3 linked regions of the Astyanax mexicanus genome follow. The protein of the gene in region 1 purifies or fractionates together with the protein of each later gene. This does not show direct contact. Links are inferred from orthologs where the notes say so. Each region holds a gene or a part of one and is shown in the gene's direction. Other genes may lie near its edges. The genes, in order: sirt6, usp48 and g3bp1.

Evidence for each region.
Region 2: the proteins of sirt6 (region 1) and usp48 purify together in Homo sapiens (affinity purification with mass spectrometry; 3 studies listed by BioGRID, with this or other methods). This does not show direct contact. The link is inferred for Astyanax mexicanus from reciprocal best matches to the Homo sapiens genes SIRT6 and USP48.
Region 3: the proteins of sirt6 (region 1) and g3bp1 purify together in Homo sapiens (affinity purification with mass spectrometry; 3 studies listed by BioGRID and IntAct, with this or other methods). This does not show direct contact. The link is inferred for Astyanax mexicanus from reciprocal best matches to the Homo sapiens genes SIRT6 and G3BP1.

Annotation. Positions count from the first base shown.
Region 1 is NC_064411.1:46,344,378-46,351,550, forward strand, and holds the start of sirt6 (NAD-dependent protein deacetylase sirtuin-6), read left to right. Parts: upstream 1-4,120; 5' UTR 4,121-4,251; coding exon 4,252-4,317; intron 4,318-5,932; coding exon 5,933-6,060; intron 6,061-7,173. Other genes in the region: zgc:165603 (CUGBP Elav-like family member 5), read right to left, coding at 2,322-2,781. UniProt on the Homo sapiens protein: NAD-dependent protein deacetylase, deacylase and mono-ADP-ribosyltransferase that plays an essential role in DNA damage repair, telomere maintenance, metabolic homeostasis, inflammation, tumorigenesis and aging.
Region 2 is NC_064431.1:28,429,218-28,436,701, forward strand, and holds the start of usp48 (ubiquitin carboxyl-terminal hydrolase 48), read left to right. Parts: upstream 1-4,467; 5' UTR 4,468-4,588; intron 4,589-4,733; exon of another isoform or gene 4,734-4,839; intron 4,840-5,007; exon of another isoform or gene 5,008-5,074; intron 5,075-5,881; 5' UTR 5,882-5,882; coding exon 5,883-6,016; intron 6,017-6,509; coding exon 6,510-6,630; intron 6,631-7,422; coding exon 7,423-7,484. Other genes in the region: ldlrad2 (low-density lipoprotein receptor class A domain-containing protein 2), read right to left, coding at 1,718-1,814.
Region 3 is NC_064417.1:39,196,606-39,204,454, reverse strand, and holds the start of g3bp1 (ras GTPase-activating protein-binding protein 1), read left to right. Parts: upstream 1-4,771; 5' UTR 4,772-4,901; intron 4,902-6,843; 5' UTR 6,844-6,865; coding exon 6,866-6,960; intron 6,961-7,057; coding exon 7,058-7,139; intron 7,140-7,226; coding exon 7,227-7,400; intron 7,401-7,604; coding exon 7,605-7,695; intron 7,696-7,784; coding exon 7,785-7,849. UniProt on the Homo sapiens protein: Protein involved in various processes, such as stress granule formation and innate immunity. Plays an essential role in stress granule formation.

The DNA of each region.
Region 1 (7,173 bases):
AACTCGTGTAGTGTTTATAAACAAGCAGATCATATTTTCTCTTCCCCTTTAACTGAAAATCTTTTAATAAACAGCGATAATGGAACTGTAGTATAATTGCAATAATACACTCGAGGTTCGTGCTATAACGTGTAATATTGGCACTGCTGTTCTGACCTACGGCACTTGGCCTGTGGCCAATATTACACAATATAGTACTCCCTCTCCTGTACTATTGTTTAAATATAGCAGGTCAATATTTACCAGCATTTTGCAGCCCTAATATCAGCCCTGATATGTATCTTGTATCATAATCAATCTTGTTGTTGGTTTCATACAAAATATACAGTACCTATTCTGAGGATATCATGGATGTTCTAGCATTTCTCAGCACATTTGGAAAAATATACGTTGGGGTGTCATTAACAGAGCTTTCCACTGATAAATATCAGTTTTGATGGTTTTTATGTGCATTTCTTTGTGTATATATAATATTTCTGCCATGACGCAGAGGAAACATGTTGCAATTGGTGTCCATAGCTGACTGTATGTTACAGATGCTGCAGACAGAGTTTAGGCTGGAAAACACTGGAGTACTCCTTTAAAATGAGTGATTATGTAACAAGCATGTGCCTTCAGAGCATGTAATGGAATGGATGTGTTTCCTCCATATAGATAGAGCTCATTGCTACTTCTGTGCTGAGTATAAAAAGCAAAATACAAGACAAATAAATACAACAGGTTACAAGTGCTGTATGGACTGATGTATTGTTCATTTCATAATCCTGTGTCATTCTTGTACACACACACACATAGACACACACAGAGACACATCTCAAATAACAGCGTCATGCTGATACACCCTCGTTTTTTTGTTACTACAGACCAAAAATATTTAAAATAAAAATTATGCTTGAAAAATATGTTTTTATGTCAGAATATAAAACAAAAACCTACAAAAATGCTCGAATTGAACATCGTTTATTCGCTATTTCTTAAAAAAAGAAGAACACAGCAAAAATGCATGAGCGCCCATGCCCATGCACGCGCGCGCGCACGCACGCTCGATGCAACAGTCCTCCATCCTATATAGAAATATGAAGAAGACTGGGGGGTTGGGGGGTTTGGGAGGGAGGGTGATGTGTGGAGGGTGGAGGGGGGCTCCTAAATCATATGCATTATGTGCGCGCGGGGCTGCCCTACTTCCGCGAGCGAGCGAGCGAGCGAGCGCGCGCGCGCGCGCGCACAAACGCACACGCGCGCTCCCACACGCGAACGCACACCGTGCAAAATGTGCGTGAGGAGTGGGAGTGACCGCGAGCGTGCACGAGCGCAGCCACCACTATCAGTCAGTGTGTTAGTTACAGATCGTGACTCGTGACTCTCTGCCTGCTTTAAAAACAAACGTAACAAACACAAACAAAGAACAAAAAAATGGATTCTTAATATGAATTGTCTTTTGATCGACAGTGCATCGAATATTTATTTGGTCAAAAATGGCAAAAAAAAAAAACACAATCGTGACATGATCAAATCGGGAATATAAATATTAAATATAAAATAAATAAGTCATGTTGTGCTCTGTTTGTGTGTTAATGATGACAAAAAATGTAAAAGTTTTTTTCTTTTTTTAATTGTAGTTTTGTAACTGCACATTTATGCTATTTATTTTGTGCAAAAATGAATCAAAACCTGTAAAAAAAAACATGTTCAGTATTTGATATTTGATAAACTAGTCAATTTCAGCCATGTTTTATTTTGTTTTAAAGCATCACTATTTTTTGCATATTAATAAAAAACAAAAAAGAAATTGAAGAGTAATGGTAAACTTTTGTGATTAAAAGATTTTTGGCCACAAAAGAAATAAGAAAATAAAAATGTAAAACAACAATAGAAACACAATGACTGTATAAAAGCTGTAAAAGTGAATTTATTAAAAAAAAAGGAAAAAGACATGTACCTGATCAAGTGTCTGTTTTCGTGTCTAATCATGGCTAATAGGTTAATGACATAAAATGACATAAATGATTTCATTTCGTAACATTCCTACAGTAATATGTATTCATTACTGTATAAGTGTGGATCGGTGTGTAAGTGTGTAAGCGTGCACGAGCGAGGAGAAATTTAGGGATCAACAAAGATCAAAAGAGAGAATGAGAGAGAGAGGGACGGAGCAACAGTCCGTTTGGCTAATCGTTTACGCACGAGCCTTGTGCATTTGGTATAATGATTGCAAATTTCTCAAATCACTTAAAAAACATTTAGAAAAAAACAAAGATTCACACAAAATACACAGATAAAAAACCACCACCACACCCCCTATAAGCATCCTTATCATTTACCTTTGTGCATGCCGGTGTAGCGGTCCTTCAGCACGGTGAGCTCGTGGATTTTGCCAAACTGCTCAAACAGGGGCTTGAGGTCCTTCTCCTCGAGGTTGCGCGGGATTTGTCCTATGAAGAGCTTTATGGCGTCCTGGTCTTTCATGGTGCCGCCGTCCGCGTGTATGGACACGGCCTCGGAGCCGCTCATGGGTTTGGCGAACGTGATCTGCGCGTACTGGGGCTGCTGCGCGAGGACGAGCGCTGGCGGCTGGCTCGGTGCTGCCCCCGGTCCGCTGAGGAGCGCGCTGGCGTGGGTAGGCTGGGGCTGGATTTGGGGCTGGTGGTGGTGGTGGGGTGGAGGAGGCTGATGCTGATGGTGGTGGAGGTGGTGGTGCTGAAGCTGCTGATGCTGATGATGCTGAAGCTGCTGCTGATGCTGATGCTGCCTTCTCGCTTCAGTCTGGGTGAATCTGGCCATTCTGAGCGCGAGCGGCGCGGTGAGGAGCAGGCAGGCGGGATGATAATAATAACAACATACACACGCAGGCGCGCGCGCGTGCGCTTACACGCACACACTCATGCACACGCGCACACACACACCCGGGCGGGCACCCTCGCGCGCACGCACACATACACATACACGTATAATACGCAGGCGCAAACGAGCGCGTGCGCGCGCGCAAGGCAAGGGGAAGAAAAGCAAAAAAGAAAGAGCACAGCTGGAATAAAAATAAATAAATAAATAAATACTTAAATAAATAACAGAACGTGGGGGCTCACTTTCTGTTCTAGACACATGTCACGCGCATGGCCCGTACCTGATGGAGGAGAGAGGAGTAGTGTGTGTGTGTGTGTGTGTGTATTGGGTTTGTAGTACATGAGATAAAAGAGATACCAGAAAAAAATAAAGATGCTCAAGTATAGAGCTCTCGCGCCCCCTGCAGGTCAACGCGTGCTCGCGCGCTCACACACACCCCAAAAACCGTAGATTAATGCTAAGTCATATGCTCCAATATAAAAACCACTTTCACTACTTTGCGTTATAATTCATTATACTGGAAATTGTAAAACTTCAGTAAATTAGCAATAAAAAATTACAAATAGGACCACACATCATAATTAAATGAATTTAGTCAAGTTTCTGTGTTTTTCAAACAAAGGTAAATAAATACACTGTGGGATTGTTGTATTTGTTGTGCACTAAATTGTACATAAACATAAACAAATATGTATATAAAAAATAAACAATACGCACAAAACTTTCCTCAGAACTGTTTTTTTAAGAAATGTAGTATTTTTTTGATTGTTAACTATTCTAAGCCTTTTTATGACATATTCTATTTAATGTAAGTACATTCCTTAGAATGCTTTAGTTTCCCAAAAGATACAAATAATGCTCTCATCACAGTAATTAATTAACACAGAGAAACATTAATAAATGTTATGAATAATCTTAAAATGTGTTTCTTTTACTTACATGCACTAAATATTCTGCAATATTATTTGCTGCATTATATTATTTTATGCTATATTATTTTTTTGCCACATTATGATTACACTGTTATACTCTTATACTATATGAATATGATATTACTATACCCTGAAATATCGTGATATTATTTTAGAGCCATATCGCCCACCCCTACTATCTATCTATCTATCTATCTATCTATCTATCTATCTATCTATCTATCTATCTATCTATCTATCTATCTATCTATCTATCTATCTTTTTGTTGTATGGAGTCGGTGTTCCGCACGTGTGACGTTGTTTCACACGAACTGCACAGTAGTGCACATGTTTTGTATGACGTAGTGTGGAGAAACAGCACGACTGGAGCCCAATAGAGTCCGGCTGCAGAGAAAAGTCCGCGGGATTTTAAATCTAAGGGCGATTTTTCTGCGATTCACCCGCTTTTTAAGCAGGCCAGCAGTCTCAGCGCTCAGCATGTCTGTTAACTACGCCGCGGGGTTATCTCCGTATGCGGATAAAGGAATCTGCGGGCTGCCTGAGGTAAATAACGCTAACGGTAGCTAAAGCCGCCGCCGCTGCTGCTGCTGCACTGTTTACTGCTTAGCTAAGCTAACTAGCCTACCTTGGTTAGCTAGTTTAGCTAAGCTTTGTTGTACCGGTGTGTGAAGGTTCTTGTCAGACACTTCGTTGAAAAATGACATTTACTAAATAATTATTATGTTTATTACTGTTTTTTATGTAACGTTACTAGCTACAGTAAAGCTTTGTTTTTAAATGAAGGCTAGCTTAGCCTACATAGCTAACTAGTGACTAACGTTAAATAAAGTCAGGTAGCTTTACCTGAGATAGTTGACGTTAAACTAAGAGCTGCATTCGTTGATGCTAGTAAGCTAAGCTAGGTTAGCTAACAAGTTAGCAAGAAGGTTTAGTAGAAAACACTAACGTTACAGCATGTAAGCTTGGCATAAGCATACCCTGCTTGTTAAGCAGTCTGTATAAAACAAGATAAGTTAATGTATTTTGCATTTAAAGAGCCCATATAACAGAAAACCCGACCATAATAAGAGTCTCTGTTCATTTGCCGGTAACGTTAGTTGCCAAAAGGTAGTTCTAATAAAATATGGCAGCTATACTGAACCCAAAAGAGCCCATGGTGGTGTAGTTGTGTGTCACAGACCCTTTAACATATGTGTATGTAAAATATACTAATTACAGCGCTTTATCCTTTATTTTAAATCATGAAGTTTCTGAGTGACATATGCTAAACATCCTGAGAATTACTTTTTATTATAGAACAGTGTGTGAATGTGTGTTTGTTCACCTCACCTTATTTCCAGAGTGTAGGTGTGCCATGGTGAAGTTATCCTGTGGTCAGGCTGTTCTGCAGTCAGTCGTATTTTCGAATGCTTTTATTTCCAGTTTTACGCTAATGTTTATGTTTGACACTTCCTGCTGTACTTTAGGACATCAATTTTTTTATATATATAAATGTAATAATAAAAACTGTTTTCCCTTTTTTTAATTATCAAATATTAATACAGTAGTAGATGAATACATGCAGAGCTTTGTGCAACAAGTGATATTCCCTGAAGACAAGGTATTTGTTCAGGACCATCCAAACATAGCCAGATATATATCCAGAAAGACAAACATTTCCTTAATGGCATCAGCTTACTTTTACTGTTAAGACAGTCGGACTGTGTTTTGGTCCTTTAGCTAAAATGTAAATTAGTTTGTGGGATTTAAAGCTGAAGAAGTGTTTCAGAAGTGTTCACAGCTGTAAACACTTGGATAAAATAATATCTGTAATATCCAGGTAACGTTAAATATTTAGATTTGGCAATTGTATAAAAAAAAAATCCTGAATAAATAAAACTTAAACAGAGTTGACATTCTGGCTCTTTCTATGAATCCATACTGTGAAGAATAGAAATTGTTTGTATTCCACAAATACAGTTAACATAATTAACTACGCTTTCTTTGTAATTAGATATGCAGTTGGCCAGTGATATTTTTTTTTTACAGTTGAAAACACCATTGAGCAGATTGTTCATTTGCTAATAGAAAAGACCAAATGCAGAAATAAGCAGTACGTCATAGAGCCACAGTATCTCCTGATGATCGGCCACATTTAAATACTTTCTCTCTTTTGCAGGAGTTTGATAGCGCAGAGGATTTGAAAGCTAAAGTGGAGACGTTGGCGCAGCTGATCAGAGATTCTCAGTACATGGTGGTGCACTCCGGAGCAGGAATCAGCACTTCTGCAGGGATTCCTGATTTCAGGTAACAGTCAGATTCACACTCCTTTTCCTCCACATGCAGTTAGATCAGAAGTTAGAAAGTTTCAAAGAACGTAACTTGCTGCTTTGATTTTTTTGTTAGTATGTTATCCTTTGGTAAATAAAGGTTCCCAATATAGGGTCCAGTTTAAATATGTTTTTACAGTACAGGATGTTATTTTTGATATTTTGACATTTAAAAAAAAATACTCAATACACCTCCAGGCAGTAGTGGTTTGCTAAAGTATTCATACCCCTTGAACATTTTTACCTTTTGTCACCTTAAAACCATGAACTATATTATAGTGAGATTTTAAGTGATAGACCTACACAAAGCAGTGAAACGAAAATGATGCATGGTTTTCGAAATTTTAATCAAAAAGAAATTTGACATGGTCTAAATGCAATGTGCTGTGTATTAGGGGTTGGCGATATGGCTCTAAAATAATATCACGATATATCAGGGTATTTTTGCGATAACGATATACTTGGCGATATAGGAAAACATAAATAATTCATTCATTTCAGGAATATAGTATAATAGTATAACAGTATAATCATAATGTGGCAAAATATATAATATAGCATAAAATAATATAATGCAGCAAAAAATATTGCAGAATATTTAGTGCATGCATATAAACTGCAAACTAAAACAATTATACAATAAATACACCTAAAGCTTCACAGTAAATAATAGACTACTTTTAAGACAGAACAGCCCTATTATCATGATATGGATTTTTAATATCATGATATTTCTGTGTCACGATATATTGTATACAATATAATATTGCCCACCCCTACTGTGTATGGAGAAAAAAATAACAGCTTCATTCTGTGGGGATACTTTTCTTCAGCAGTGACAGGGAAGCTGGTCAGAGTTAATGGGAAGATGAATGGAGTTAAGTACAGGGCAATCCGGTGAGAAAACCTGTTGGAGGCTGCAAAAGACTTGAGACCGGGAAGGAGATTCACCTTTAGACAAGACAATGACCCTTAACATACAACCATAGCTACACTGGGATGATTTAAATACAAATATTCATGTGTTAGAATGGCCCCGCCAATGTCCTGCTTTGTGTTGTGGTCCATCTCTTAATGTTTGCGGTTGTAA
Region 2 (7,484 bases), on another chromosome or scaffold:
CTTTAATATGCCTTGTAAACTGTGGGGTCAGTCCCTCAATAAGCATCAATAAGCCCCGGACACGCTGGGTCACCAACTGTCCTTCATTGAGCACTAATATTTTGGCGATGTTCTGACCCTGTGTCTCAGTCATCTAGATATCAAAAAAATAAAAACTGTCTCTGGATGAAATGGTTCAGATTCATGCTGCAAATACGTATGCTGCCAATATGCTGCAATATCATCTTCAACAACTGACCATTCACTTGCTGCCTAATTTATATCTCCAGCTCTTGAAAGAAGCCACAGGAACCACAGCATCAATGATATTTACTTCACCTCTCAGTGATTCTAATGTTATGGCTGTTTAGGGCAACATAAGTAACATTACATCCACAGGTTTCAGGTGGATTTAGTCACAAGGTAAACATATTTAGATATATGTTTAAATATACACTTTTTAAAATAAATTTCAAAGGACAAATATTTTCATTTTTTTGGATAACGAGTTTGTCTTTATAAGGGTAATATATTAAAATATAAAGTATTCTTCAAATATGTTTAATGTTTTGAGTAATTTAAATGCAGTAAATTAATACAACATTATAATATATAGATTTGTAACTGTATGTATTGTAGTTAGTTGCAAATGATTCTAAATTGTTTGCATGGAATAAAAAAAACTATTTAGATGATATCATTGATTTATTTAAAAATTTGAAAGATATGTAGATATGAAAACATTCCTTTAGACTTAATTTTAGATGTAAATCTCCTGTATAATATACAATATAATATAATATAATATAATAATATGTTAAAAAAAATCTTAAAATAAAAAAATACTTGTTTTATTTTACAAATGAAAAATGTTAAAATGTGAAGGTTTACTTTAAAAATATTATTTTTTTGTTCAGATGTTAATATCATAGAGAAAGAAACAAACCATGCTAAATAATTTGGTAGAACAAAAGCATATTAAGCTAATAAACCGTGTATATTTAGCTAAAAAAAATTGCTATATTAATAATTTCGTACCACAGAAGATTGTTAAGGTCATAAATAAAATCGACTGTACATTTGTTATTTACATTCCCAATATCAAGGATTTTGTACCACATAAAAAGGTGTAACGTTACATTTTACTTTATAAATTTGCAATATACATATTTTTAGACACTTTATTTTGATATTATTAAACTAAAACCACCAGAATTAACGGTACATTCTCTATATAAATTCACAATATTAATTATTTTGTGAGTGCATATATTATATAAAAATATATTTGTGTGCTATTTTAGCTTCTTAAGCTAATTACAGCTAATCACAGTGGCGGGAAAAAAATAAACTCTGAATTAAAGTTGCGCTGCTGTTAAATGTACCATAATAAGTATTTAATTATTATTTTTTATTTAAAGATATTTATGTAGCCTAAATCTAGATATGTGGGTTTTAATTATTATTAAAAAGCCACAATTAACAATTAACTAGGGGTTTTAGAATCAGACTAAACAAAAACTCTCTTTTTGTAAACTTTAACTAATACATGTGGGTGATCCAGGTCCGGTTAATTTAAAATCCATCCCAGGATTTACTTCCAACCGCCGCAAAGGCTCTGCTGCAGCAGAACTGCCCGTGCGTGTTGGAACGAAATTCCGGAACGGATTTATACTTTAGCCAACACCAATAAAGAAATCCTTGATAAATCTCCAAAACTGAGCTTCCATCTTCATACCTGTCTCGATGGCGTGAGCCCTCAGTGCCATTAGGCTGAAAATAAGCAACCAGCCGGGCAGGAGATGAACCCGCGGCCGCTCCGGCTCCCTGCTCATCCCGCTCCTCTGAAGTTCAGCTAAGACTCCAGAACAGGGTCCACGCTCTCCTTCAGCTCCTCCTGAGAACACACTGCTCCATGCTAAACCTCTAAAACTGACCGCATTTCAGTTTATACGGGAGAACTGAGCCAAAAGTGGAGGGGTGAGGTCTTCAGAGGAGGGGCAGCAGAGACCCTGGATGACTCCATTCATTGCCACCATCCTCCATCCTCTTGTTTAAGTGTGTGTGTGTGTGTGTGTGTGTGTGTGAGATCCTGGTTAATAATTTCAAACAACATAGGCCTACCTCTTTTTTTAACCACTAATAATACATATTATCCCAATAAAGCCCATGTGCATATGTGTCACAATTGAAGGATGTGAAAAGTATTCACATGCATTACTCTGTAGGTAGAAGTATATGTACTAAGGTTTAAAATACTTCTTTAAATGCTGAGGTACCAACTCTTAAGCTTTTTTTTTAAAGTGTAAAAGTACTGGTTTCAAAACTATTTTAAAGTATTAAAGTAAATGAAATGTAAGGACAAAAGCTTAGGCAGCACCACAGAGTCCTATAGTGCACTACCCTTCCTCATTAAAACATATTTTCTAAAAAGCCACAATGACTATAATGTTATATTAAAATGTTAATGTTAATAAAGTTGGGATGCACTAGACTACCAAGTGCTTCAGCTGCATATATGTTCATTGAAAATGAATGCATTTTAATACAATGCAAATATATTCAAGTTATATCTTAGTTGTGACATTTCCAGAGCTCGAGTTCTCTTGAGTCTCTCTGCACGGGTCATGTTCATACTAAGCTATATACGTCTGCTATGCTCTTGCTGGAGTGTGGGGGGCGTGACTTGATGTGCAGGTGTGATGGATCACAGTATAAACCAATAGGGAGTCGGAATGGTATATGTTTATACTTCTCTACATCCAACCACAATCAGATTCACTCTATCTGGATGGAGAGATTTATCTGGATAGGGTTTTTTTTTTAATGATAAGAGTCCGGAAATTAAACACAAACCAAAATTAAATAGGAGTAATTAGGCTATTTTTAAAATGTAATGAGTAGATAGTTCAGATAATTATGCAAAAAAATGTAAGGAGTAGAAGTAAGTCTGTACGTTTCTGTAGGAATTCCCCTGTAAGTATATAGAGCTGTGTAAATGTGACTAAGAACTCTTGACTCTCTGCTGACTCACAGGCATTTAACTGACCCCTCATAACCTAAGTTTTAAAGGTAAGTTAAGAGCCTTGTTAAAAGGCTTTATTTTATAGCTGCTTCTTTATTTGTAATTTTGACACTTTCAGCTTGGGGACCTTATCAGCTTAATGAAAACCACTGGGAATATTTGCTTCAACAAATTAATATAAAGACTGCAAGTATAATCGGTTTAAATACAGTGCACTTCAACTGCTTCTGAATTGTTTATTTTAAATTCATTGTGATAATGCATCTTTCTAAATATTTTTGGACAAAACTGAATGTATGTATTTGTATATATATATATATATATATATGTGAACTCACTGAAAAGTTACTTTATTTCAGTAATTCAGTAACTAATTTATTATATAGATACATTACACAAAGTGATCTATTTTAAGTGTTTCTTTCTTTTATTGTGTTGATTATGGCTTACAGCCAATGAAAACCTAAAAGTCAGTATGTCAGAAAATCAGAATATTAAAGACTGTGTATATCTGGACAGAGCATCGTCTCTCAAAAGTGAAGCCACCACAGGTCGGGCGCCCCCTGCTGTTCGGTTTCAGAAAGCTGTGTAACCCCACCCATCCCCATAGGTTTCAATGGCAAAACAGACAACTTTCAATCACGTTTTATTCCAACATACTGCACTTCTACATCCAATATTTAAATGTAACAGCTACTGTAACCTCTGCTTATATTGTCAAATTTTTATATCCCCACAGAATTCGTTTTTTAAAACTTTATTCAGCTCTATTCAAAAAAGGTGTGGTTATTGTAAAAGGGCTGGTTATGGGTAGGACCAATAACAGACCGTCAGCTCCGGTCTGCTCCGCTCTGCAGCCTGAGGCAGCCCTCAGGGGCGGGGTTATTTAAATGAGTAGGCTGTCTCTCCACAGTCTTTCTCCCTCCTCTGGTCTCTACTGCGCAGACTCGGGTTTCAGGATCGCCAACATGGCGGAAGATTTTGGCTTCATTTTCAATGAATGAATGGGAACGGAGACACGACGTCCATCTTTTTTTACAGTCTCTGTATAAGACCAATTGGTACTTTTGGCACTGTGGGCAGTGTGTCAAGTCCTGCTGGAAAAACAAATTTTCAGTGATATTTAACTTTTTTGAGATGCACTAGCAACTATGTACTTTTTTTAGTAATCAAATCTAATTAATCTATCAATAATACTATAATACTATTAACTATATTATTTGCAATATCTGAAATAATGTAAAACAAAATGGTTATTTAGCAAGAAAAGCACTTTTATTACAACATTAGAAAAATTGTTTCATAAATATCAAATCAGTTTGGAGCTCAGTAGCAAAAGCAGAACGAGACTCCCTACCTAGGCTGCCTAGTTAGGTGACGTGTACGCGAATCGGAACGCACCCGCGTCATCGGGCGTCATCGCGTACGCCTCCAACAAGTTTGAAAGTGAGGAAGGTAAAAAAATATATAATTTAAAAACAGAGCGAAGGGCGCTAAATACAAACACCCCCCGAATAAAATGTGAACAGTTCCGTTATTAAAGCAGCTCCACTAACACTGGCTTCACCACAAAAACAAGCGCAGGTTCGGAATCGCTTTTTTATTTTACTGCGGCTCTGCTAGCTTAGCTAGTTTAGCAGCGCAGCAGCTATTTTGTTGGCTTTTTAAGCTAAGCTAAGCTAGGCTAGGCTAGGCTAAGCTAAGCTACTGCGCAGCACAATATAGCTCGATACAGTACTGGGACTGGGTAGCTTTAGCTGATGCTAACGCTAGAATAGCAGGCGAATAAACAGATAAATACATGAGCTGGGATAGTACTGCTGTTTTTTCATTAGGTAGGTAATAAAGTTGTAGGTTGGCTTGTTAATTAGCTAGTTAGTTATAAGTTTTGACTGAATAAATTATTAAACAAATATCAGCATCTTTCTGTCGCAGCTATGCTATGCTAAGCTAACTAAGCCAATGGAGTTGATCTGATAAGGTAGATGGTCTGTTTACCGGCTGGCTGTAGCTGTAGCTAATGGAGTTACAGCTACAGTAGTTAACTGGCTAATGCATCAGCATCACAGAGTTCAGTTCACTATGTTTCTCTCTGTTTTTCTGTGTTTCTCTGCGTTTTTTGTCTTTCTGTTTCACTCTTTCTGTTTCTCTGTCTCTTTATGCGTGTTTCTGTTTCTCTGTGTTTTTCTGTTTCCCTGTGTTTTTATGTTTCCCTGTGTTTCACCCTGTTTCTCTGTGTTTCTCTCTTCTCTGTTTTATTTTCTGCCTTTCTTTTTCTCTCTGTTTTCTGTGTTTCTATTCGCCTGTGTTTCTCTGCATTTTACTGTTCCTCACTGTTTCTCTGCGTTTTTTGTTTCTCTGTTTCTGTTATTCTCTGTGTTTCTCTGTTTCTGTTATTCTCTGTGTTTCTCTCAAAGTTTTTCTGTTTCTTTGCACTTGTCAGTATTTCTATGTATTTCTCTGTGTTTCTCTGTTTTAGTGCTTTTTCTCTGTGTTACTCTGCATTTCTCTCAGTGTTTTTCTCTGTTTCTCTGCATTTTTCTGTTTCTCCATGCTTCTCTTTGCTTTTCTGTGTTTCTATGTGTTTCACTTGTTTCTCCCGGTTTCTCTGCGTTTCTTACTGCTTCTCTGCATTTCTCTGTTTCTCTTCTGTTTTTTGTGTTTCTTTAAGTTTCTGTGTTACTCTGCATTTCTCTCAGTGTTTTTGTCTGCGTTTCTCTGTGTTTCTTTCAGTATTTTTCTCTGCGTTTTTTTATTGTTTCTCTTTGCTTTTCATGGTTTCTGTGCGAATTATTTGCTAGCTCTCTAATGGTCTGTTCATGCTCTGTTTAGGTAAATAAAACTCACTCTCCTCTTGTTTTGTTTATTTCTTTGTAGGATGGCTCCTCGTATACAGCTGGAAAAAGCTGCCTGGAGATGGGTTGATTCAGTGAGACCAGAGGACATCACACAGGAACATATCGACTTAGCTTACAGGATCGCTGTATCCGCATGTAAAAGGGGAACATGCCGGTGGGTTAAGTTGCTGATTTTACTTATCAGGGTATAGGTTATAGGTGTAGGTATAGGTTATTTACTCATTAAAATCACAGAGAGCTGTCAGCAGACCCCGTTGACAAAAGTAACCTACAAGTACTAGTCGGAAGACCTACCCTTCTTCTAATTCAATGTGTTTTCTTACTTTTTATGATTTTCTACATTTTTCATTTAATATTAAACATATTAAAGCTATGAAGGAATGCATGTAAAATTATAAATTATTATTTATATTAGTCTAAGTGTTCTGCTGTCGTTCCCAGTCTCTTCCACTGTGTTATAATATCACTGACCATTGGCTGTGAAATATTTAGTCGTGAGGATATTTCATGACTGAACTGTTACCGTAATAGGATGCAGCACCTGTGCAACAAGTTCACTGAGCTCTTGAGAGCGACCCATTTTTTCACTAATGTTTTTAGAAGAAGGCGCTATAATAGTGCAATTTTGATTCTGTTCTGACACACAGGAGGAACTGCAAAGGGAACCCCAACTGTTTAGTTGGAATCGGGGAACATTTGTGGTTGGGGGAAATTGATGAAAATACCTTCCACAACATTGATGACCCAAACTCTGAGCGAAGAGACAAGGTATGACCACAAATATATAGACGTGTATAAAGGAATTTCTCTTGTTATAGGTGTGGAACATGGGCATCATTTTAAGGCTTTCAGTATGCAGCAAATATTTAGCAAACAAAATTATTTGCCAAAAAAAAATGCCAAAAATTCTCTTTCTGTCAATGCAGCAAACATGTCGGCAGTATTGACCCTTTTTTTAAGGTTAAGAAAGATTGAGAAAAGTGGCAAACTGAATGCAAAACCTTGCAAAAGTGTTTCATTTTAATCTGTTCCATTTTTGACCAAAAATATGCGTTGAAAATGGAATAAAATTAATACAGAAAAGATATCCTATACAAACTGTATGTCAAAGTGTATACTGTACATTGATATATTATAGAATGCACATTTGCTAGTGTTTTGGTTTAGTCTTTAAAAAAAAATCCTGCTCTTGATTGACCCTAAAAGTCTTTTAGTGGCCTTGAATACTAATGATGTCTTTATAAACACAGTCTGGAAGTTTTGTAAGGAGTTAAGGGGGATTCCGGTTAGTCACATTTACAGAAGGGGGTGGAATTGAATGGGTGTCGTGCCTCAGCTTTTGTGCTTAAACTCTTTGTGTGTCTTTGTGAACGTCACTGGTTCAGCAGTGCTTTACTGGAACTCTGCTTGGGGAAAATTAATAGGCGGTGTGTCATGGCAGCTTAGAGCTTTTTTACACCTTACATTAACATGTATCTCATGTCTCATTGTACTGTGCCCATCTTTATATGTTTTAGACGATACAGCATTAATTATATATTTTTTTTGCTCTGCATTTAGAACACTTTTGTGGGCCTGACAAATCTTGGTGCCACGTGTTATGTAAACACCTTCCTCCAGGT
Region 3 (7,849 bases), on another chromosome or scaffold:
TATAGGGCATAGCTGTGCTTATACACCTTAAGCATTGCATAACCCATTGTTTCTTAATCCTGCTTCAGGGAACCTGCTGTACTGCACAGTTTCAGCTGTTCCTTGTCTGAGTGAACCTGATACACCTCATCAAATGATTATCAGACCTTTTAGAGCTGGATCAGGTGTAGAGAGGCAGGGTAGAGATAAGGCTGTGCAGGACTGTGGGTTTCTAGGAGAGGATTTAGAAACACTGGGATAGTAAAAGCTTGCTTTTACACTCAACAAGCACTTTACTATGAACACTTGTACACCTACTCATTCGTGCAGCTGATCTTATCTAATTAATCATTTAGCAGCAGTAGAATAATGTAAATTAATGCATGCAAATAAAAGGCAGCAGGTAATTTTCATATCAGGGTCATAATTTTACTACTGTGTTTTTAATGTCTCATATAAAAAAAACGAGTTATTAAGAATTCTTTTAACTATTTATATTTCTTTGAATATTATATTATTAAATTGACTATCATATCAGATTTTTCACAACACAGAAATCCTATAATGCCAGCATAATTACTTTTATTTTTACTTTTTTATTTTCTGCATGCATGCTTCAATGAAAGGGTGAAAACATTTTGAAAATCCCAGCATTTGCTAAAAATATTTGAATAACCGTGATATACCATGTCAGGGTGGACATTTTTATATTTACCATAGCTAAACATGGAGACAGTATAAAAAAATATTAGGTGAAATTAGTATTAATAATTACTGACTATGCAGCAGGGTCTTCAATCCCTTGAAAAGAAAACAGTGTGAAGGTTGTTGTTGTCACTGATATTAAAGGTTGTTTTTTTAATGACAGTGTGCACAGGGAATTATTGGGATATGTTTAAATAGCTTGAATTTTTTTATATAAAAATAGTTCAATGAGTCATTAAAACACTCAGATTATATTAAAAAACATAAATATAATAACGTTTATTATTAAATCTGTTATATAACCCCTTAAAACAATTATTCTTCTAACTTAACCAAGAACACCCCCACATCAAAGAAAACTGTAGTACTCCTCCAGCACTAGGATTGTGAAGACTAGCACATGCCTCCTCCGATACAAGTGAAGTCAGCCACTGTCTATTTTTCAGCTGCCACTGATGCAGCATTACCAGGTAGTCGGTGCACTCAGAGGAAAGCGCAGCGACCCGGCTCTGATAAATCAGCTCGCAGATGCCTGTGCCAACTAACATTACTCTTGGAGAGATGTGTGAAGAGAGCACGCTGTCTAACCACCCACAGAGAGCAAGGCCAATTGTACTCTCTCAGACTCCGGCTGCTGATGGCAAGCAGCATGACCCGAGATTCAAACTGCCAATCCTCAGATCATAGTGACAGCGCCTAAGTTCGCTAAACCACCCAGAGCCATCCAAAAAAGTAGCTTAAAGTGAAGTTTAACATTCATAACATTCAAAGCATGGTAGCTGGGGTCAGATGTGCAGGTTTGAGTACTTGTAGAAATGCTGATCTCTTGGGATTTTCTACACAACAGTATCTTAGAGTTACTTAGAAAAGTATATTAAAGTCTAAACATCCTGTGATTAGCAGTTCTTCAGATATAAAGGCCCTGCTGATAAGAGAGGTCTGTGAAGTTGCCAGACTGGTTCTGTATTACAAAAGGCTATTGTATCCCAAACAACTACTTATCCGGTGGTCTCCTGAGTATACAACATGACCAGATCCAACCTACCAGATCTAAATACAGTGAAACCCACTATTGAATGGGATTGAGCCTAGTTACGTATTGTTTGTAAATGTGAAAAGGATCTCAAGAGGAACAGTGACGTGTGTACCCTGTGTTATAGATGGTGCAGTGTCACATGTAAGTTTGTTGTTATGTTGTTATGTCTCAGTATGCTCTTTGCAACAGGATTTCATTCATTACCTAATCACACCTTGAGAACAGGAGATTTACATTATGATGTTGCTCCTTAGAAATCTGGACCAGAATCTTCAAGTGTTTCCAGCATCTTGTGGAATCCATATCACGAAGAACAAAAAAAAAACAGCCTACTCAGTATTACTATAGTCAGGCTACTGTTTAAATAATGATCGTGAATTCTCGCAATGCTCATCATGGTGTTTATCAAAACATAAAATCCTGCCCTTCAACACAAAGACCCAATCAATTTGCTGGTTAAGCTGTGAGCAGGGGAGGGTTGGGTCATCATTCGCCCTCAGTGTGGAGACCTGAGCAAGGGCAGCAACCATGATAAATGTTTTTTTTTTTATGATATATTGAGCCAAACACTACAAATTGTTTATGATTTGCTACACATATTTTATCAGTGGTGTAAAAAATGTAAAAAAAAAAAAAGGGTTGGTTTCATATGACTGGAGATAACTGCCTGCCTGAGTGATCAGGATTGGCTCATGTACTTTCCTATAGTGTTCAAAATAAGTGACTAAATATAGTAAAACATTCACTTTGTGTGTATTACTTAAACATGACCTACAGATAAATAATTCTAATAGAAAAGAATCCTACACAAGTGTTGTAATAAATATTAGGACTATAATATTGGGTAGTAGTGCTGCCTTTAGGTCTTTCTCTGAAAATCTTACCTATAATCTATAAAAATGCACTTTATTTTTTTGCAGTGTTAATGCTGAATAACATATAGTAAATATAGAAGAAGCTACTGGTGATTTTCTACCACTGTTCCATGAAGAATGTGCTGGCATCTCGGTGTGGGGTGGAAACTGCTCAGCGGCAGACAAGAGAGCTCTTCAGAGGATCATCACCACAGCACAAAAGATCATTGGTTGCTCACTGTCCTCCTTAGAGGATCTTTTCAGCTCTCGCTGCATCAGCAAAGTAGCCGACATACTGAAAGCCCTATCCCATCCTTGACATCACCTGTTTGTATTTATAAATACCTGTAGGTATTCTCTGTATCTCTGTATTCTAGTTTCTTCATTCTTTATAATGTTACATTATTTTATTTGTTCTATTTTTATTTTCATCTGGTATGTATGAATACCAATGGGTTTGCTATTTAATTCTGTTGTACTTTGTGCAATGACAGTAAAGGAATATATTTGTATATTTATATATTATTAGGGGTAAAAATAAAGGCAATATATTTTTGGCCTTATTTAAGTGTGGAGATAATATTTTGAGTTTTCATTCATTTTACTTTCTAATTAAAAATTAATATATATATTAATGTATTTAATAATAACTGAAAAGGTCATATATATTATAATATATTACTTTTAATATTATATTCTCTGATAATATGTTGAATCTGTGTTCATTTCTGTATCTTGGACACAAATTAAATAAGATTCTATATTTCACCATCACACAATCTAAACCAGGGGTCACCAACCTTTTTGAACCTGAGAGCTACTTCTTGGGTACCAATTAATGCGAAGGGCTACCAGTTTGATACACACTCGTGAAATTACAAATTTTCTCAATTTACCTTTAATTATATGTTATTATTAATAATTAATGACATTCATCTATGTGAAGACACAGATATCAATAGGCAACACTATTATTATAAATCTCTGCAAGTGTTTACATTTTATATTATATTTTAATATAATATTACATATTATATTACATTATATTGTATAATAATATATAAACTATAGGCTATCTCTAAGCTAATATTAATGTAATATAATCTAAAATTACATCAATGCAACTGTGATTTAAAAAAAAAAAGAATAGCAACAAAAATGCTATTTTTAGACCAGGCCTGCGGGCTACTCATAAGGTCCTTGCGGGCTACCTGGTGCCCGCGGGCACCATGTTGGTGACCCCTGATCTAAACTAATCCAAAAACAGATAAAAACATATAACATTATTTAAGCAAGTTAAACAGTATCTTATTGCGTTTACATTTTAGTATGTTGTTTATTCTCAAATCTTGTATATGATAATATAATACTGATTTTTAGATTATAGTACTGTATAGCATACAGTGTACCTATTCTACAGCTCTGTAAGAGACTCTGTAAGAGACCCTTTAAAAAAACTTTAAAACCTCTGGAATATAATCAAGAGGAAGATGGATGATCACAAGCCATCAAACCAAGCTGAACTGCTTGAATTTTTGCACCAGGAATGGCATAAAGTTATTCAAAAGCAATGTGTAAGACTGGTGGAGGAGAACATGCCAAAATGTATAAAAACTGTGATTAAAAACCATTTTAATGGTTATTTTCTTTGCATTATTTGAGGCCTGAAAGCTCTGCATTTTTTTGTTATTTCAGCCATTTTCCCATTTTCTGCAAATACATGCTCTAAATGACAATACTTTTATTTGAAATTTGAGAGAAAGGTTGCCCGTAGTTTGAAAAATAAAACAACAATGTTCATTATACTCAAACATATACCTATAAATAGGAAAATTAGAAAAACTGATTCAGAAACTGAAGTGGTCTTTTAATTTTTTTCAGAGGTGTATTTTATCTTATGTTTAATAACATTTTCTTTTACAGTACATTATACATATTTGTACTGTAAAATTATATCGATTTAATCAATCAATCGAGCAACCATTCAGCAGTCAGGTTGTCAAACCCCACCTTCAGGATTAGCCTATTAAACCTGACCATACCCGAACACCACGGTGTGTGGCTGGTGTGTGGTAAATTAGCGAGCTCTGTTTTGATTGGGTGATTGTGGGGCGCCTCTCTTCGCTCGGCTGCTGATTGGTTGGATGGGCACCGTGCTGGGAGTCTATTGGCCTGGGTTAATCGCATGCCTCTCCGCCGCAGCCGCAGTTGAAGCGAATTTGAAACCGGCTAAGCAAGCGCTGCCATTCTCACTCCACCAGGCGCAGGAGGCGATTACATAAAGCCGCTGGACATTTCTACACTGAAACTAGAGCCTCCCCCTCCTGGTGAGCGGCCTGAATATTACGATTTACAAATTACAACAATACTGTTTTATCGTGCGGGAAAAGGTTTTTGTTTGGTCGAGCGGGTTCGATAGTTAGTTAAATAGTTTATTTAGCTTGTTAGCTTAGCGGCTTGGGTATAATGGGGGCTTATGGACTGTAGCTAGGTTACATAGCTAACGCTAACGTTACCCTCCCTCTCTTAATGATTTCATTTTAACTTTGTCACGTTACTCTGAGAAAATACGATATATTTGAGTATAATGACATTAGCTAGCGTTGGCTGTGGGTAGAGTGTAGCAGAATTAGTCAGTTAGCTCGCTCGCTAGCTAACTAGCTAGTTAGCTTGTATGCTAAGATAAGGCTATTGTAATTCAATCAGGTATCCTATCAGATAGCTTAGCTAAAGCTAGCTAACGTAGCTAGCGAGGTTTCCGGCTAGCCGGGTGAGTGTGAATAACGCTAACAAGACTATTAGAAGTGACTTAAATGTGTATCTTAAGTTAGTGGGTTGATTATTGTGGTATTTTAATTATTCTGACTGTTAAAATCAATAATACTTTTTTAGTAATTGTACGTGCCTGGTGTTCTAGGGCACAGCGCCCGGTTAGCTAACCACAGCTATCTTGGCTAATCTGGAATAATGGTGAGCACGTGCTTATTTCTGAGTATGCCTTTATAGGTATAGCTTTAAAAAATTGAGTCAAATTGGTCGTCAGTTTCCACTGTGTTTATAAAGCTCTGGAGGGATGACCATATACGTCTCATTTTTCACAGATAGCTAGCTAGTTAACCTAACTCAGCTAGGCAGGTAACGTTAGCTTTAACAAAGCCTGGCTGGCTCAAACTGGCAACGAGGCATCACTGAGCGTGGCTTAATCACATGGGCCTGGTTAGCAAGCGAGCTAGCAGCGTCTCACGTTCGCATCTGAGGCTAGCTAACGGGGGCTGAAAGGGTGTGCCTTCCGCTGCTACTGCTTGAAACCAGCTTTACTGATAGAAACGTGCTTGGAAACAAACGGCTAATTATTTGATCTCCGGGAAATCCTAGTACCGCAGTCTTGATAAGCTCAGCTAACCGAGGTTTTGTTTATACAGGTAATAAAACAGCTAGTAAATTAATAAAATTATTCTATATTATTCCCTCACCGGAGGATTAATATATAAATTCGGAATATTGCAGCAGCACATGTGACATGACAGAAAATAAAGCAAAATACACACATTTAAAAGTCTATGTTCAAAAAATATATATGAATCTAGAAAATTTACGATTTCTGTAAGTGTGATTTCCTAGTATAAAATATTGATATTCTTCAAATATGAGATTTACGATTTAGGTTTGTATTTCTTACATAACTTGATTGTTTTATTTAGATATTTTTTAAAGATTTAAGATCTTGAATATCCTATTTTGAAAATTGTTTCAAAACAGTAATTCAACAATCAAATTAATTCGATTAACCCCCCAGCCCTAACAGTGTGTATGTGTTGTGGCAAGCAGTGGACAGTGCAATAAGTGATTTTATTGCACATAGTGATGGTAAGCAGATCATGTTACACATGCTGAATTGAGTTATTGCACATAGTAGAACAGTAATAAGTAAAACAGTTTATTGCACATTATCAGTAGTAGAAGTAAGTGGTAGACTGAGCAATGCCTCATTCACTATATATCACTTGCTGTGTAGTGAATTAATTTAGGAAACAAACAAACGTCTGCTCAAAGGACCTCGGACAAAACACCACTCTGATCCATTGTGGGTATTTGATGGTGAATTACATACAGAATAAAATGTACTTTGTGGGATTTCAAACAGCACTACAAAATGTTTGGTGCACTTTTCTTGTAATAGGGAGCCATTTTCAATATTTTCTTTTCTTGGTGTGTGTTCTGGGTATCTTAGATACTGGAGTGGTAATATTTTCTCTTAATCTCTTTCAGTTGAAACCAGTTGACCAAAGAAATGGTGATGGAGAAGCCAAGTGCCCAGCTTGTCGGGCGAGAGTTTGTCCGACAGTACTACACTCTTCTGAACCAGGCTCCTGACTACCTGCACAGGTGATTTTACGTGCTTTAACTTTTTATTTTATGTACAGATGCACAGTTTGTTTTAGTGTTCAAAGAAAATGGAATGCTTATTTGTCTTAATCCTTAGGTTTTATGGCAAAAACTCTTCTTATGTGCACGGAGGACTGGATACCAATGGGAAGCCAGCTGAGGCAGTGTATGGACAGTCTGTAAGTGAAAGAAAATGTGACTGTTCTTTCTCAAATTCAAAGTTTACATTTCTGTATGATTGACTTATTTGTTCCATTGCTAAACAGGAGATTCACAAAAAAGTGATGGCACTGAGCTTCCGTGACTGCCACACTAAAATCAGGCACGTCGATGCCCATGCAACCCTGAATGAGGGCGTGGTGGTGCAGGTGATGGGAGAACTGTCCAACAACATGCAGCCTATGAGGAAATTCATGCAAACCTTTGTGTTGGCCCCTGAGGTATGTACATCTGGCTAGTATTTCAGATTGTCAGCAATTATTTCCAAAAATAGTACAGTTACAGTTGTTTGCAAGTCCACACTGTAGAACAGATTGTGGCCAAAATAGAAAAGTTAAGCTTTATTTTAATATTTTTGGCCATTATGAATATGTAACGGTAGTTGCTGGATTGAATATTCTGATTAATTTGTGATTCTATTTCAGGGTACTGTCGCAAACAAGTTTTACGTACACAATGACATTTTCCGCTATCAAGATGAGGTCTTTGGGGACTCGGACTCTGAACCTCCTGAGGGTGAGTCACTGGAACATTATTTAAAGGGTCTTTAACGTAGGCCAGCTCAGTGCATCACAGATGGCATTGTTTATCTTTGGACTTTACAGAGTCGGAGGAGGAAGTGGAGGACCTGGAGGAGAGGGTGAACTCACCTGAGGTGCCACAGGAAGAG